Linked DNA regions of Caenorhabditis elegans. The protein of the gene in region 3 interacts with the protein of the main gene of each other region in a pairwise test. Each region holds a gene or a part of one and is shown on either strand. Other genes may lie near its edges.

Region 1 (4,032 bases), on a different chromosome or scaffold from region 3:
AGTCCACCATTTCTGAAAAGAATGAATATATATGTTTATTAGTTGAAAATTCCCTACCATAGTCACAAGATTTCCGAACCATAAATGAGCCAACTCGTGAGCAACGACTAAAGCAACTCTAGACTTTTGTCTGGTGGACGTGACTCCTGGATCAACAAGAAGAGCGATTTCACGATACGTGACAAGTCCCCAGTTCTCCATCGCACCCATTGAGAAGTCCGGAATAGCAATCAGGTCACATTTTGGAAGAGGGTATTTGATGTCGAACCACTCATTGTACCAGTCAATGCACCTGAAAATTAGAAATTGAAACTTCATTTGAATTATTACTGAAAATTCAGCTAAAATTATTCTTTAAGATAACTCACTTCACAGAAAGATCCAAACTGTATTGACCTTGTTCTTTCTTTCCAGGTACAGTATACACACGCATCTCAACTCCGCTTTTCGTTTGTGCACTGATATATTCCAGCTCACCAACGGCGAAAGCGACGAGATACGATGACATCTTTGGTGAAGTTGCAAATGTAACTGCCTTTCTCTTTCCATCAGCAGTCGGTGTTTCGGAGATTACATTCATATTGGAGAGAGCGGTCAGATGATTTTCTACTTCCAAAGTAACGTCGAAAGTTGCCTTGTAAATTGGCTCATCGAAACATGGGAATGCATAGCGAGCATAAGTCGACTCAAACTGAGTTGAAGCCAAGAACTTTTCGGTGCCGTTCTTATCCTTGTACTGACTGCGATAAAATCCTCGCATCTTATCGTTCAGTTCACCGACAAACTTGAAGTCGAGCTGAACCTTCTGTGGCTGCATGGTAGTCGGAAGCTTGATAGTCAAAATATTGAGCTTATCGTCGTAGCTAGTTTCGAGAGATTTAGAAGCGTCTCCTGGCTGAGTGATAAGCGATACCGACTGAATCAGCAAACTCTGTGCATGCACCTTCAAGACATCAGTAGCTTCTTTGATTGTGACGTCAATCGTTGCATGACCATCGAAAGAGAATCTGAAAAACAAGAATTAGAACTTGAAGTGGTTTTGTTGCAAATTTAAACTACATATCAACATTTATTACTGCCGTCCTAGCTAAACTGAAATATTATTACAGAACTTACTGGTTGAGGCATGGCGATAAACGGACGTTGTAATGAGTTGGTTCGGCGAATGTTGGAAGCCTCTCAAATTTGACCGCCGCGCTTGGGTTTCCACAGGCCGCCATTCTGAAAAGTTTTATTAATAAAATGAATTTTTGACACAACTAAATTGAAAGAAAGAGAAGGATATCACAAATGAAAAAAAACACTACTAGGAATGGCGGGAAATGTGGAAAGGAGTTTCTGATTGGAATAAAAAATTAAGAGACGACTGTAACGTTATGCTCCGTGGCATCATCTTGCTTTAATCCTTTAGCTTCTGATGCTTTTTCTTGCTCAAAAGTGTCGAGCGATTCAGGAGTGAAAGCAAATGGAAGAAGAGCGCGAGTTGAGGTGATGAGAATTTTATTGTTAGATGCAGTTCCCACAACAACCTGCAACGATGACAGTGAAAAATTAAGAAGCTCTAGTTTTCTTACTTTATAGTCACCGAATTCAACTAGAAATTGACGGCAAAGTCCACAGGGAGACGCAGGTTCGCTGAGCTCAGTGACGACAGCAATGGCACGGAATTTCGTGTATCCTTGTGACACAGCAGAAACAATAGCACTACGCTCAGCGCAGATAGTGCCACCGTATGAAGCATTCTCGACATTGCAGCCTACAGAAAATGCTAGAAACTTCAAAAATGCATGTTGCGAAACTGAGAAGCCCGCAGACATCTCGAGTTATGCAACGACAAGAAATCACAAATTACCCTGGACAATTTCCCCAGATTCAGTGAGAAGCGCTGCACCAACTGGAAACTTGCTGTATGGGCAATGTGCCCGTTTCATCGCAGCTCGGGCCAAATGAACTAGTTCCACATCGGAAATATCTTGAGGAAGACTATTCGCGGCCATCTGTAGTTAACTATGACAAAAGTGCATGAAATGAGAAGCGAATGAGGCGAATTAAATTATTAGAAGAACAGAGAACAACATTGATGAGAAAAGTTAGCAATACACAAAAGAATTTGCGTTGTGGAACGCATGCAAAGTGACGTTAAATCCCATATTCAGTGAACGGGTCGCGTTATATTTAAAAAAAACATGACAAAATGGGAACTTTGCAACTATTTTTCAGCCTCAACTTCGAGAATTGGTGAAATGAAAAATCCACGGGACATTTTTGCGCGCGCGCGGCCCGAGAAGTGGTACCTGTACGCAATTTGTCTACCGTATACCTGGACGTTTGGGCGCGTGTATCTCAAAAACGGTTGGTCCAGTTTTTTTGTGATGCATATAAATAATGTCCGAAATTAAATTCTAAATTTTTTGGACCAAAGCTTTTTTCATTATCACGCGCCCAAACCTGGTCTACACTCAAATTATCAGTAGAGCGCATTTGCATAGATGTACCACTTGCCGGGCCGTGGCGCGCGCGCGCATTACAAAAGTCAAAAAAATGCGCGAGCGTGTTTGCGTATCTCATTGCGTACTCCAGCGTACCGTAGTTTGTCGACCACGAACGTTCGTTCGCGAACGAATTCGAACTCAATTCAAACTTGTCTCTCTTTTTATAACAATGCCGAAATCATTGCGAAAACGGTTTGTACTTGTGAGTATCGATGATAACATCGAACAAATTAATGCTGCACGAAAGCTTCGTCGCTATTTGGTGAGTTTTTTCTTTAATTATTCTTCCTAATTCATATTTTTAGACGAACAATCACTTGAATCACATTTTCTCGTCAACTCCGGAAGAAATGAAAGAATATTTGGATAAATTGGACAGTGGAACTTTTAATTTTCGAGAAACAGCCGAGGAACAGAAATCGGTTGATCCGTTTTCGGAAGCAAACCAACCCGCCATTCAGATGTCTTCAAACCAAGAAATATTAGAGAAATGGGCGGTAAGGATTGAATAACTCGAATATTGTTCGAAAATAATAAAAAGTATTTCAGCGCGGAACTTTCGCCGAAAACTCGGATGCGTTGAAACTTTTGCTCGAGCCAACTAACATCGAGGAAGATGCAGTTTTGGATGATCACGAATCAGAGAACATTGTAAACAGTAAGAGTTCGTTCATTTAATTTTTAATATTTCGCTGATAACAGATATTCCGCAATTGTTTATGGTAAACTCAATGGATGCTGAAACACCAAATGACTCGATAATCGTTGAAAACGGAAAGGAAGATCAACTTGATATGGCATATTGTTCGGTGAGACCCCGACAATTGCGTCAGATTCAACTACAATTTTCAGCTGTGCAAGCATGAAGTGGAAACCGGTAGAAACCGAAATACAAAAATTAGGAAACAGACTGAACATGTTCTAGACGCCCACCCAGAATCGGAATTTCTCAATGTAGACATAGCAAAACGCTATGAGTGTGTCCACTGTTTGAGAACTCTTCCTGTGTCGAAATCACCATGTGAACATATTTCTGAACACCACGATAAAACCCACGTGGAAATTGAATTTCGTGACTTATGGTAGGAAAATCACATTGAAGAAATGCTTTTAAAAATTCGATTCAAATTTAGGTCCAATGAGCAAGTGTCAACTTTCAATTCAGTTATGGAAAAATGCTTCTTGCGTCATCTTCCAGTTCCCAGAAGCCGTAGAATTCGAAACGGAAACACCTGGTATCTCTCCGAAAAGGCCTCGTACAGAATTGTTCGAGGAGGTGAAATTATCCATATCAGCACTGTGGCTGATAAAAGCAAAACAGATGTGAGTTGTTGAAAAAAGGTTTTTGTAAATATTTCAAAAACATAGAAATAAGCTTTTGGAGAAAAAATTAATAGAAACTGGAAGAAGTCGTGAAGCCTATCAGTAGAATGAAATGTTTCAGAATGACACAATGTAAGATCATTAGATTTTTCGTGGAAATTGCTTTAGATTGGTGTGAAAATGATAAACATAACAGACGTATAGACAAATAGGGTGA
Region 2 (7,550 bases), on a different chromosome or scaffold from region 3:
GTCTGCAGGAGAGAATTCAAAAGTTGGAACAAGAGAAAGCAGCTCTGATTGAAATAATGATAAGTCAGCATAAGAGTAAATATGAAGAGAAGTTGAAGGATAAAAAAGAGAAGAGAACCAGTAATTATTATAAGAAGCATTTCAATAAGTTCAAGAAGGATGAGAATACTTATGACTACATTTCAATTGATTAGATTTGTTAAATAGTTTTTATTTTAGTAACCATCTTTCAATTTACTGTGCATCTCAAAAAAGTTAGAGCAACATCCTTTCAAAACCAAATTGACTAGTACTTTTGGATTCTCCCAATTTCTCGTTTTTTTTCCGTTTTTCCCTCTTTTTCTAATAAACGTCATAATATAATAATAATAAAAATTCGTAATCAGTTAAAACTCGTTCGTCCCTTTTCTCTTCCCTCTCTTATCAAAAACACTATCAATACCTACACAGAGATCATAATCAGAACTTTTGATTCAATAGTTCAAGTATTGCCATTGTTCACGTGATTCTGCTCGCCTAGTATTGCCTTTTAAAGACGTTCAGGAATAATATTTTGGTTCAAAGTATAGAAATCCCATGGCAGTTGTTTTGAATTATTATTCTTTCTTTGTTGTCTTTTGAAAAACTTGGTTACTATGTGTCTTATTCTGGATCTTTCGGACTGTCTATTTTTTTGTTGGTCGTATAAATATTACATTTTGATCTACCCTTGTTGACCTCCCCGCGTATATTTTTGTTTTACCCCTTCTAAAATCAGTCTGTATAAAAGGCATTCGACATTCCTCTGCTTTAAAAAAAATTTTAACTGATTAAACACCTGTAATTTATTTTTTTATTTTGCTCCAAGAAAAAATGGTTCCTGCGGTCTTGAAGCGAACGATTTTTTTTGGCTGCAAAAGAGCGTGCGCCTTTAAGAATTACTACTCCTCGCTGTTTCGGGGGTTTCTTCGATATTTCATAAGCTTTAACCCCCTTGCTTAACATTTATTTTAAAAAAATGTCAAAATATATTTCAAAAGATGCATCAAAATTGGAAGGAACGGGAGAAATATCCGCGACATCAAAAAAATTTGCAACAACTACCGTATTCCTTGCGCATTCCTTCTTGAATTTGAAAAAATCAGTCGCTTCGAGACCGTGTACAGTAATTTTGAAGCAAAATCGAACAATTTCGCATCTGGGGAATCTGAAATTGAGTATTTATATTTTTCATCTAGAATACACCCTAAACTCTAAAATTTTTCAAGTTAGTCTCAAATCAATAATCCCTTTGATATCCTTGACCCGCATATATCTAGTTGAAACCAAAGTACGATAAGAGTACTTGAATGGCGCCATTTACCAACGAACCGCCTACCTCAGAAATCTTATCAGTTGAATTAGTCTGCCCTTTTATCTGTCTCCGATGCTTCTCTATTCCTCAAGAAACAAAATTTTATCCTAAAATCCTCAGTGTAGCAAGTTCCAAATCGAAATCTCGATTTAAAATCAGCTATATCCTTTTCTGTCGACACATTATTTCGTATTCACGTGTTCCGTTGACCCATCTTTATGATAAAATGTGTCCTTTATCTAGACACTGTCATCAAACGAGATGTACACGGGACTGAAGAGAGTGTAGAGGGGAAAACGAGTGTTATTCCCGATTTGCCACGACTCACTGTGTCGTGTTTTTCATGTTCTCAACGCTGCATATCGAATTAAAAACATGACTAGAATATATTTATAATGTCATCTCGAAACTTTTTTGTAGGGAAATAACATCTACTTGGTTTAATTTTTGTTTACAAAAACAAAATCCACGTCGACTTCAATTGTGTTGTTTCTTTCAGTAGCTTATTTCTCTTTTCCCCTTGCTTTCATTTTTGGATAATTAAAACTTGATATTTCCAGCCGATTTTACTTTATAGAACGAAAAGTACGCATTAAATAAATTCAAATATTAAAATTTGGCGCCATGGCGCTTACTAGTCCACGGCACCGTGTAGTCCTCTCGGAGTATGCAAATTTATTATTTTTTTAATCAAAATTTTCTATAAAGATATAAGTTTTGCTTAAAATATGCTAATTTTCTGCTTCTTTTAACTTGTTCTTCTTTGCTTAATATTTCCCAATACTTTTAATCATAAATTTTCCCACAATTTATGTTTTTTTTCCAGAAAATGACTCGAAGTAGTCTTTTCGAGGAGTTGGCGGAGATCGCCAAAGAGCGTATCATGATCATCGACGGTGCAATGGGAACAATGATTCAGAGAGAGTATATGGAAGAGGAAGATTTTCGTGGAGAGGTAAGAAATGATTTGTAGAAACTGGCTTCTGTGAAAAGATCAAAAAATGAACATTCACAAATTGATGTTATCAATAACTGATTGAGATAACAGAAATGTCCCCATAAAATGTATGATTCAGCATTAAAAAAAAATTCCAGATCCTCAAAGACCACGACAAGCCACTGAAAGGAAACAATGATCTTCTATCCATCACCCGCCCAGATATCATCTACAAAATCCACAAGCTCTACTTGGAAGCCGGAGCAGACTTTGTCGAGACTAACACATTCTCAGGAACCACAATTGCACAAGCAGATTATCGATGTGAACATTTGGTGCATGAAATCAATTATCAGTCGGCACTCGTCGCCAGAAGAGCTTGTGATGATGTTGGAGCAGCTACTGGTAAGGGAATTCTGTGAAAAGAGCTACTAGTTGAATTGTTTCTTATAACCAGGTAGACGTCGATATGTGTGCGGAGCCATTGGACCTACGAACAGAACTCTCTCAATTTCGCCATCTGTGGAGAAGCCGGATTTTCGTAACGTTAGTGAGTAAATTTTAAATTGGCTTGAAGATTTCAATAATCGAAATTTCGAATCGATTCCGAAAATTTTCAAAACTATAATTTTTAAATAAATTAATTACGTGGAAAAGTTAAACAAATAAATTATCCCAATTTTTATTTCAGCATTCCAAGAGCTCGTGAAAGCATACGGAGATCAAGCTCGCTCACTTATTCAAGGAGGAGTCGACGTGCTTCTCGTGGAAACTGTTTTCGATTCAGCCAACGCCAAAGCTGCTCTTTTCGCGATTCGCACACTTTTCGAGGATGAAGGAGTTCCAGAAATGCCAGTTTTTCTTTCTGGAACTATTGTTGATATGTCTGGACGTACGCTTTCTGGTCAAACTGGTGAAGCTTTCCTTGTGTCCACCAAGCAAGGAAAACCAATGGCTGTAGGATTGAATTGTGCTCTTGGAGCCAAAGATATGAGACAATTTGTGGATAATATGTCGAAGTGGTCTGATTCTTTCATCATCTGTTATCCAAATGCTGGTTAGTTTAGAGAAAAAATAAAATTTATTCTAATTTCTTCCATTTCCAGGTCTTCCCAATGCACTCGGAGGCTACGACGAAACTCCTGAAGAGATGGCTGATGTTCTTCGAGAATTCGCTAGAGACGGACTTGTGAATATCATTGGTGGATGCTGTGGTACTACTCCAGATCACATTAATGCCATGTACAAGGCTGTGCAAGGAATCACACCACGTGTCCCACCACAAGATCCTCATGCTGGAAAAATGCTGCTCTCTGGACTTGAGCCATCTATCGTCGGGCCCGAAACCAATTTTGTGAACATCGGGGAGCGCTGTAACGTCGCAGGATCTCGTCGATTCTGTAACCTTATTAAAAATGAGAATTACGATACGGCGATTGACGTGGCTCGTGTGCAAGTCGACAGTGGAGCTCAAATTCTAGATGTGAATATGGATGATGGTCTTCTTGATGGTCCATATGCAATGTCAAAGTTCCTTCGTCTCATATCCTCGGAGCCAGATGTCGCCAAAATTCCAGTTTGCATTGATTCTTCGGATTTCGATGTTATTATTGCTGGCCTCGAGTCTACTCAAGGAAAATGTGTAGTCAACTCGATTTCGCTGAAGGAAGGAGAAGAAAAGTTCAAGGAACGTGCTCGAATCATCAAGCGATACGGTGCTGCTGTGGTCGTGATGGCGTTCGATGAACAAGGGCAAGCTGCGGAGACGGATCCGAAGTTCGAGATTTGCGAAAGATCCTACAGAATTCTTACGGAAGAGGTTGGATTCAATCCAAATGATATCATTTTTGACGCCAACATTCTCACTATTGCAACTGGAATGGAAGAGCATTCGAACTATGGAATGTATTTTATTGAGGCAGCTCGTATGATAAGAGAGAATCTGCCAGGAGCTCATGTGTCTGGAGGTGTATCCAATATTTCATTCTCATTCCGTGGAATGGAAGCGATTCGTGAAGCTATGCATTCCGTGTTTCTGTTCTACGCAATCAAAGCTGGAATGGACATGGGAATCGTGAACGCTGGAGCTCTTCCAGTTTACGAGGATATTGATAAGCCACTTCTGCAACTTCTAGAAGATCTTCTTTTCAATCGGGATCCAGAAGCGACCGAAAAGCTTCTTGTCGCTGCTCAAGAAATGAAGAAGGACGGAAAGAAGGCTGACACGAAGACTGATGAATGGAGATCATTGACTGTAGAGGAACGTCTGAAGTTTGCTCTCGTGAAGGGAGTTGATCAGTTTGTTGTCGCTGATACCGAAGAAGCTAGACAGAATACTGCGAAATATCCAAGGTGTGTACCGATTTCTGATATCCATAATTAATTACTTTCTTTCAGACCTTTGAACGTTATTGAACGACCATTGATGGATGGAATGGCAGTCGTTGGAGAGCTGTTCGGAGCCGGAAAAATGTTCCTCCCACAAGTTATCAAATCAGCCAGAGTTATGAAGAAAGCAGTTGCTCATCTTCTTCCATTTATGGAAATTGAACGACAAGCTAATATTGAGACCATGGGGCTGGCTGAAGATGAAAGTCCATATCAGGGTACTGTAGTTATTGCTACAGTCAAAGGAGATGTTCATGACATTGGAAAGAATATTGTGTCTGTTGTGTTGGGATGCAATAATTTCAAAGTTGTCGATCTTGGCGTCATGACTCCCTGCGAAAACATCATCAAGGCTGCAATTGAGGAGAAGGCTGACTTTATCGGACTCTCTGGACTCATTACACCTTCTCTCGATGAAATGGTATATGTTGCCAAAGAGATGAACAGAGTTGGATTGAATATTCCATTGCTCATTGGCGGAGCTACAACTTCCAAAACCCATACTGCTGTCAAGATCTCTCCAAGATATCCTCATCCAGTTGTACATTGTTTGGATGCTTCAAAGTCTGTTGTAGTGTGCTCTTCGCTGTCTGATATGTCTGTTCGTGATGCTTTCTTGCAAGATTTGAATGAAGATTATGAAGATGTAAGTTTATAGCTTTTTGAAGTTACTCATGACTTACCTAAAACATTTTCAGGTGCGCCAAGAACATTACGCTTCACTGAAAGATCGCCGCTTCACTGATCTCAATAAAACCCGCGAGAAGAAATTCAAGATCGACTGGGACAAGTTTACAGCCGTCAAGCCTTCCTTTGTCGGACGCCGTGAATATCAAAACTTTGATCTCAACGAATTGATTCCCTACATTGATTGGAAGCCGTTCTTCGATGTTTGGCAACTGAGAGGAAAATACCCGAATCGCAGTTATCCGAAGATCTTTGATGACGCGGATGTTGGTGCTGAGGCCAAGAAGGTTTTCGATGTAAGTTTTAGCTCATTATTTTTTTCAAATTTTGGAAATTCAGGATGCTCAAACATGGCTCAAGAAGCTTATCGATGAGAAGATTCTCGTCGCCAACGCTGTTGTTTCATTCCTCCCAGCTGCTTCTGAAGGCGATGATATGCATGTCTATGATCCAGAGACTGGAAACAAGCTCGACACATTCTACGGTCTTCGCCAACAATCTGGACGTGAACACGATCAACCACATTTCTGTCTCTCGGATTTCATCAAGCCACTCAAAAATGGCGTCCCTGATGATTACCTTGGTCTATTCGCTTGTACTGCTGGTCTCGGAGCCGAAGAATACTGTAAAACTCTTGAAAAGAATCATGATGATTATGCTTCAATTATGGTGAAAGCTCTTGCCGATCGTCTTGCCGAAGCATACGCTGAATACTTGCACAAAGAAGTGAGAACGACTCTTTGGGGATATTCAACCAACGAAGATCTCACCGAATCTGATCTTTTGTCGATCAAATATCAAGGTATTCGCCCGGCGTGTGGCTATCCATCTCAACCGGATCACACTGAAAAGCGAACTCTTTGGAAGCTGCTTGAGGCGGAAAAGAATGGAATTGGGCTCACGGAGCATCTTGCTATGCTTCCAGCTGCATCAGTGTCTGGACTCTATTTCGCGAATCCACAGAGTGAATATTTCGCTGTTGGAAAGATTGATCAAGATCAGGTATGTATTCTAGGAAAACATATTTTTAATTTATTTTAACATTTGCAGGTAATCGATTACGCCGCCAGAAAGAATGTGCCAAAGGAAGAAGTTGAGCGATGGCTATCACCAATTCTTGGCTATGATACGGATTAAACTGCATATCTTCTCTACTCGTACTTCTAATGATGAAACATATTACCAGAATACGTATTTCACTTCCCTCCCCTCAATCGGTCCCTTCAAGGGTTTTCCCCCTAACATTTCACTTTCCCGGAATTTATAGCCTACTATTAGTAGTATCAAAGTATTAATTTTGTTTGATTAAATAATAAATATGATTTTTTGAATAAGCTCTTCGTCACTTTATTGGGTTTTTTTTGCAGAATATAGCGTGTTCTGTAAGAATGGTGTATACTAGTCGTAAATCTTAATTTCGTTCATTCTTTTTCAGTTGAGGTTTGTTGGAAAATATGCATTTTTTGCCAATTTCCGCTTGTTTTTGGTGAGGTTGCGAGGTTTTCGATAACTTCTTTTCTCGAAGATATTTATTTTTTCGACTTTGGAATATCATCACTCTTAATTTAAAAATTCTTGCCAATTATTTATGAAAAAAAAATTTCAATAATTTTCTGTCAATTTTTGAATTAGTTCGAATTTATGGTTTTACTCAAAATCAATGCGTTTGGTCCTGGCACGAGCCATTTTTCCCTACTACGGTACTATTATTTTAGTTGCTGAAAACTTCCGTAAGGTATCAAAAAAGTCCATTACTCTTTGCTCTTCTTTTACGTGTTCTATTCAATTCTGACCTGCCACGTCAAATTGATGTGTATATGTTCACTCGTTCATTATTTCTGCATCCAGCTTCAGCTCCAAGCAATCTTCTTCAATCCACAATTTTTTTTGGTTTCAGTATTAAGACATTGAGCTACTCGGAAATTGGGAATCTTTTTTGGTTTTTCCTTTTAAAAAAGCGATAGTATAACGTTCATTTATTTAGAAAAGTTAGAATCAGAGAGTTTTTTTTGGAACAGCTGTTCGATTTTGAAAAAATATACAAATTCAAAAGTTTATTCTGTTAGGTCGCAAATTGTAAGCTATCCGAATATTTTTACGTTTTTGAAACACTATTTTAAATCATCTGGGAAATCAATTTATTTTATAAATCCTATGAAAACATCTTCACAAAACTTCTATACTATTCTATTGGGACGTTCCTAC
Region 3 (5,344 bases):
TGGCGATGGCACTTGTGATACAGACGGCAAGTGTTGGGATCAGAATGAGCAGAATCAGCAGTGTGGAGATGGCTGGAAATGTTTCGATGGAATAAGCTTCACGGGGTGTCGATTTACGCGGCTGGTGTACTCCTCCAGAAGTGTGTACATTATTTTTGTCAAACAAAATTATAATTTTTCGCCAAATTTTTTGATAATTTAAATTTTGAATTTATGTCAAAAACTTTCTGGCAACCAAATTGTTAACTTGAGTTTGCTACTAAATTTTTTTGAATATTTAAAATTTGAATCCCGTCGAAAAGTTTCCAAAGTTAAATTTTGAATTTCTAGTAAGCATTTTTTGACATTCAAAAATCGCCGATGTATTTATCTAAAAGGTGGAGTACCGAAATCTGGGAAATATTTTTTAAAGAACTCCAAATTTGCCCCTGATGCCGAATATCCATGTAAAAAAATTTAAAACAAATTTCCATTTTTTTCAGCTTGAAATTCGCGAATTTCATTTGCGTTCCTATTACTTTTTCAAATGCGCGCCCAAAGAAATTCTCATTGGAGCGCGCTTGTATCGTGTCGATTTACGAGAGCTCTCTATTTATTTGAATACATGACCGTTTGTTCAAGGTTTTTCTTCCATTTTCCAATCTGTAAATCAAAATTCTCACTTTGTGCAATAAAAGCGACTCCAAAATTGAGAATCGCGGTGGCGAGGAAGATGGCGATGGAGAATGAGATGGGCAGAACACAGAAGATTAACACAATTTGGGTGGTGAATGTAGGTAGGGTTTTCTGAAAAAGTGGTTTTTTTAGGAAGTGTTTTTAAAATTGCATTTTAAAAATGTATTTTTTCTTGAAAAGCACTTATTTTTCTACAAACTTTTTTACTATGTAGGGTATTCAAAGTTTTTTGTAAAATTAGAAGCGATCACGAAAAAAACCTGTGACCGAGTTTTTCTCAAAACACGGCCACGAAATTATTTTAAGCAAAAAAAAATTCTGCACAAACCATAATCCGTTTCCAGTAAAACCCCATCGTCTCGAAAATCCGTGTCTCTGGGGGTTCTGATCGCTGCGACGTGTAGACGTCCGCCTCGTCCTCCTCACTGATGATCGTCATCTGGTATGTTTTTTTTTGCTAGAAAATTCAAATTTCCAGCTTAAACCAATTTCTTTAAAAGTTCAAAAAAGAAGAAAACTTTAAAAAATACCGTCAGATCAGTAACTTGAAAAGGTGACAACAAGTGAATTGTGGATTCTAACAAACATTTATTTTTTTCTAAAAAACAACCATTAAATTATTTACAATTTCGAGACAGTGCTTGCTTGCAAATTTCATTCATTTGAAAACCGCAAATTTTTAGTCTAAATTAAAAATTTTACAGACAAAAAAAAATTAGAAAATACGTGGAGCGAGGGACAACGGGTGCAAAATGGAAGGAGAATCGACTCATATTTATGGCATATTGTGGGCGGGGCTTCTACTGGAAAATTGCTCGATGGAATCTCTATTCGTCAATCTAAAAAAATTAACTTTTTTATTTAAGGAAGTCGAAAATTTATTCAATAAAATATCTCTTTGGTTTTTGAAAGAGCGACCTTTTTTAAGACTTTGTTTTATTTTTTGTGAAGTCGAAAATCGTACAAAAATTACAAAATGTAAGGAAATTCTGAAATTTTGTAGAATCCCAGAAATAAAAACATAATTTTCGTCCTTTTTTTGGAAATCTGAAAAATGATTATCATTATTAGATAGCAGGAAGAACATCAAAATAAATTTTTTCAAACATAATTTTACGTTTTTTTTTTTCAAAAATTCGGTTTCAGAAATTCCAACATCCTGTACCTCCTGAGTAACCTTCTTCAAAATATCCCTGACGGCATCCCCATCAACAGGAGCATCAGTGAAAATAGTTCCCACAAATGCGTTGGATCCCCAGCATGCGTGTTGCAGAACTTTGCAGCATCCGAGGTCTTCAATCTTGAAGCCCATTTGTTTGTAGGCGTCATTGGTCTCGAAAAGTGTATGATTGGTGTAATCACCCATATACGGGCGGCCGGAAGATGGATCAATGAAATCAGCCCAATAGCCGAAACGATGGAGAGTTGAGCAAATCGCGTTGGCGGACATGATGAATGAGGCGGTGAGCTTTTCACGTTCCTCTTCCATTGCTTCACTCCATGCTTTCATGTCGAATTCTGACTTTTGAGTTAGATTGAACACGGTCACGTTGTTCATCTTTTGAGTCTCCATTTGTGGGAATAGGTATTTCATTTCTGGAAAAAAAAATGATTTTTGAATTTATGAGTTTTAAATTCAAAATAAATTTTAAATTCACTTTTTGAGCTTCACAAATATTGCGATTTGCCGAGTATGACGACCACGGTAAATTTTTTAAAAAGTCGATTTACCAAATTTACCGCACACCCCTGCTAAATATAGTTCTGCAAAGCATTTTTTTTTTCAATTTTTCACTAATATTAACTCGAACGTAATCTCAATTTCCGATTTTTTGAAAGACTAATTTTTTAAAAGTTCATTTTCAGAATTTCTATAAATCCCAGCTTTCCAGCTCACCTTTTTTGAGCAACTTTGGTGCTTCAATAGCGGAAAGTTCAATCTCAACGTCAGCCGCATTTGCCTGAATCTCTTCCATTGCTTCTTCCTTCAATTGAGCCAAATGTGTACGGTCAACTTCGATATTTGTATTGGAGAGCAAATTGATCAAATTGTGCTCCGTATCGTCCATCACACGCTCGATTTTTGAGTTTTCCACTTGTTGGCGGATGCTCAATGGCTGCAAATTTTGAGTTTTTGAAAAAATTTAAAATTAAATTGGAATTATTTTAAATGGGTAAATTTTCGAAAATTCAAATTTTTTACATGAAATTTGATTTTGGAGTAAAAAATCAGATAATTTTGGGTGTCTGTTTGGAAAATCAATTTTCAGAAATTTACCTTGTGAGCAAACGAGACGTCTCCCTGGAACGGGTACTGACTGTCATTTGGGCCGAGAAGCGAGTTTTGGCGAGCTGAAATGTGGAAAAATTGTGAAAATGTCGATCGAAATTTTGAATTTCTTACGAGTTGTGCCCTTTCCGACGAACACGATTGGAATTGGGTCGATTTGGAGCTGAAAATTTGAATTTTATGATTTTCAGCACATAAGCAGCTAAAACGCTTACTTTTTTTCAAAAGAAAAATTGAATTATTCGGTAAATCAAAAAGAAATTAATTTTTCTGAAACAAAAGATTTTTCGATAAAATCTGCAATTTTTCAGCCATTATCCAAACTCTCACCTGCGTTGAAAATGCGGCAACACGTTGGGTAAACGCACGCATTTGGGGACCTTTGGCGGACAACATCCTGCAACAAAACTTGTATTTTAATTTAAAATTTTACTTTTAATTCGAAAGAAATCAATAAGGCAAGAAAAAACGAAGAAAATATTGAAAGACATGTTTGTTGGAAATTGAGTGACAGCTAGAGGGAGAATTACGCAGACGGTTAGAGAACACTGAAATTGGGGAGACCGCCGAGAAAACGAGAAAAGGGAAACCGAAGAACGAGCGCGACGAATCATGTGAACTTTATTATTATTATTATTACTGAGAACACTAGTAATTACTGATCAAATTAGTTGTTATCTAAATTCCTAATTTTTTGTTTCTATTTTTCAACCTTGTGACATATTGATTATATCATCAAAAAGGCGTGTACTTTTAAGAAGTACAGTAATCTTAAAGTGTTTCTTTTTTTTCTTTGACCTAAATTGTTAATTTATTGTGTTTGAGTATTAAACACATAATTCTAAGATTGCGTACTGTGCAACATATTCAACGAGTAAAACATCTCGTTGCAAAAACTACAGTAATTCTTCAAATGACTACTGTAGCGATTGTGTCGATATACGGCCTCGATTTAAAAAACATTTATTTATCGATAGAACATTAAAACTAAGCAAAAAAAGAGATAATAATACGAAAAAACAAAGTAACTCCCACTATTCGCAAATAATTTTTTTTTTCACTATTTGAGCCCGTAAATCGACACTACAGTAGTAATTTAAAGAATTACTATAGTGTTCGAGAATTACTATCTCGTAAGATATTTTGCGCGTTAAATATGTTAGTTAATACGCATTCTCCGAATTTTTCACAAAATAAAAAAGGTTTAAATACATAAAAAACCGAGACAAGAACAACGATTCTTAGAATTCTTCCAAAAGTTCGAAAACTCGAGAAATTTAAAAATTCAAAAAGAAAATAAAATTTAAAAATAATCTTTGAAAAGATTTAAAGCCAAAAAGTTAAAAAAAATCCAAAAATCCAAATTTACTATCATTAAAAAGCCTGAAATAATCTGAAAGTCTTCGAAGTCTTGTTCAAAGCCAACTTTTTTGTTTTGATTTAAAATCTGTTGGGTGAACGTGAGAAGTGCAACAATTCAAGAAAAGAGAGCGAAAAGACAACAAGTGTAACGATGAAAGAAGGGTCACAGTTGTTGCACGTGAAAAAGAATTGTCTAGAGGCGAATAGAAAGTTTTCGGATTTTCAAAGTCCACTTCGGAGTTTTTTTCAGTGGACTTTCGTGATGTTGGAACCCAAGAATGCAATTTTAGGTTCTCGATATTTTTTGAAAATTTTCTAAAAAAGAATAAACACTTTTAGAATTGCAAAAAAGAAATATCGATTTTCGAGCTTTTTTTTCAAAATTTTGAGTTTTCGAACGGTTTTTCTTTAATAAAATTATTTATCGCATATTTTTGAAGTTTTTGAAACCTTCCAGTTAGTAATCGGAAATAAAATTTTCTCTAAATTGTCTCAAAAAGCCAAATTTGAATGGTAGCCAAGAAGTGGGAGGAGCTGGCACTCGGACTTTTTTTTTCAGAAATTAATTATTAAAAATCGAGTTATAAAATTTAGCAAAATATCTGAAACAAGGGGTTTTGGACCACATTTAAAAAAATAATTTTTAAAGTTATAAACAAGATCGCTTCATTTTATGGTGCAAGACAACTATGTATAGAAATTCTATAAAAATCTGGAAATTTTCAAATTTTCAGTAGGAAAATAAAATGGAGTATATATATATATATATTTACATGTCAAATGGTACAAGAATATCTCGGAATAATTTTAGGGGGATTTTGGGGACCCGTGTGCATAATAAATTGAACAAATCAAAGTGAGGAGCTGGTGGGGAAAAACGGGGATTCGGGGGAAATGGTGTGAGTGATGAAAATGGGAAGAAAAACAAGTAAAGCTATATTCACAAAATTAACAGAGACTGAAAATATTATTTTTAGAGGGAAAAGTTGAAAATTTGAGAAAAAAACCGATGAAGGT

What was found.
Region 1: the proteins of mmad-1 (region 3) and cdd-2 interact in a two-hybrid assay, tested with the Caenorhabditis elegans proteins (one large-scale study listed by BioGRID).
Region 2: the proteins of mmad-1 (region 3) and metr-1 interact in a two-hybrid assay, tested with the Caenorhabditis elegans proteins (one large-scale study listed by BioGRID).

The regions. Positions count from the first base shown.
Region 1 is NC_003282.8:7,545,897-7,549,928, forward strand, and holds cdd-2 (Cytidine deaminase), read right to left. Parts: upstream 1,998-4,032; coding exon 1,853-1,997; intron 1,757-1,852; coding exon 1,575-1,756; intron 1,530-1,574; coding exon 1,356-1,529; 3' UTR 1,222-1,355; downstream 1-1,221. Other genes in the region: pam-1 (Puromycin-sensitive aminopeptidase), read right to left, coding at 1-12, 58-292, 369-1,007, 1,117-1,221; oef-1 (C2H2-type domain-containing protein), read left to right, coding at 2,662-2,754, 2,798-2,989, 3,042-3,150, 3,195-3,301, 3,345-3,574, 3,626-3,815.
Region 2 is NC_003280.10:10,924,402-10,931,951, forward strand, and holds metr-1 (putative methionine synthase), read left to right. Parts: upstream 1-2,159; 5' UTR 2,160-2,162; coding exon 2,163-2,288; intron 2,289-2,428; coding exon 2,429-2,675; intron 2,676-2,727; coding exon 2,728-2,820; intron 2,821-2,961; coding exon 2,962-3,327; intron 3,328-3,376; coding exon 3,377-4,622; intron 4,623-4,667; coding exon 4,668-5,304; intron 5,305-5,356; coding exon 5,357-5,641; intron 5,642-5,684; coding exon 5,685-6,347; intron 6,348-6,395; coding exon 6,396-6,482; 3' UTR 6,483-6,677; downstream 6,678-7,550. Other genes in the region: Y19D2B.2 (uncharacterized protein), read left to right, coding at 1-194.
Region 3 is NC_003281.10:13,545,644-13,550,987, forward strand, and holds mmad-1 (Methylmalonic aciduria and homocystinuria type D homolog, mitochondrial), read right to left. Parts: upstream 3,363-5,344; 5' UTR 3,362-3,362; coding exon 3,296-3,361; intron 3,129-3,295; coding exon 3,080-3,128; intron 3,028-3,079; coding exon 2,954-3,027; intron 2,793-2,953; coding exon 2,573-2,792; intron 2,272-2,572; coding exon 1,841-2,271; intron 1,515-1,840; coding exon 1,503-1,514; 3' UTR 1,246-1,502; downstream 1-1,245. Other genes in the region: Y76A2B.4 (uncharacterized protein), read right to left, coding at 1-72, 663-786, 1,004-1,114.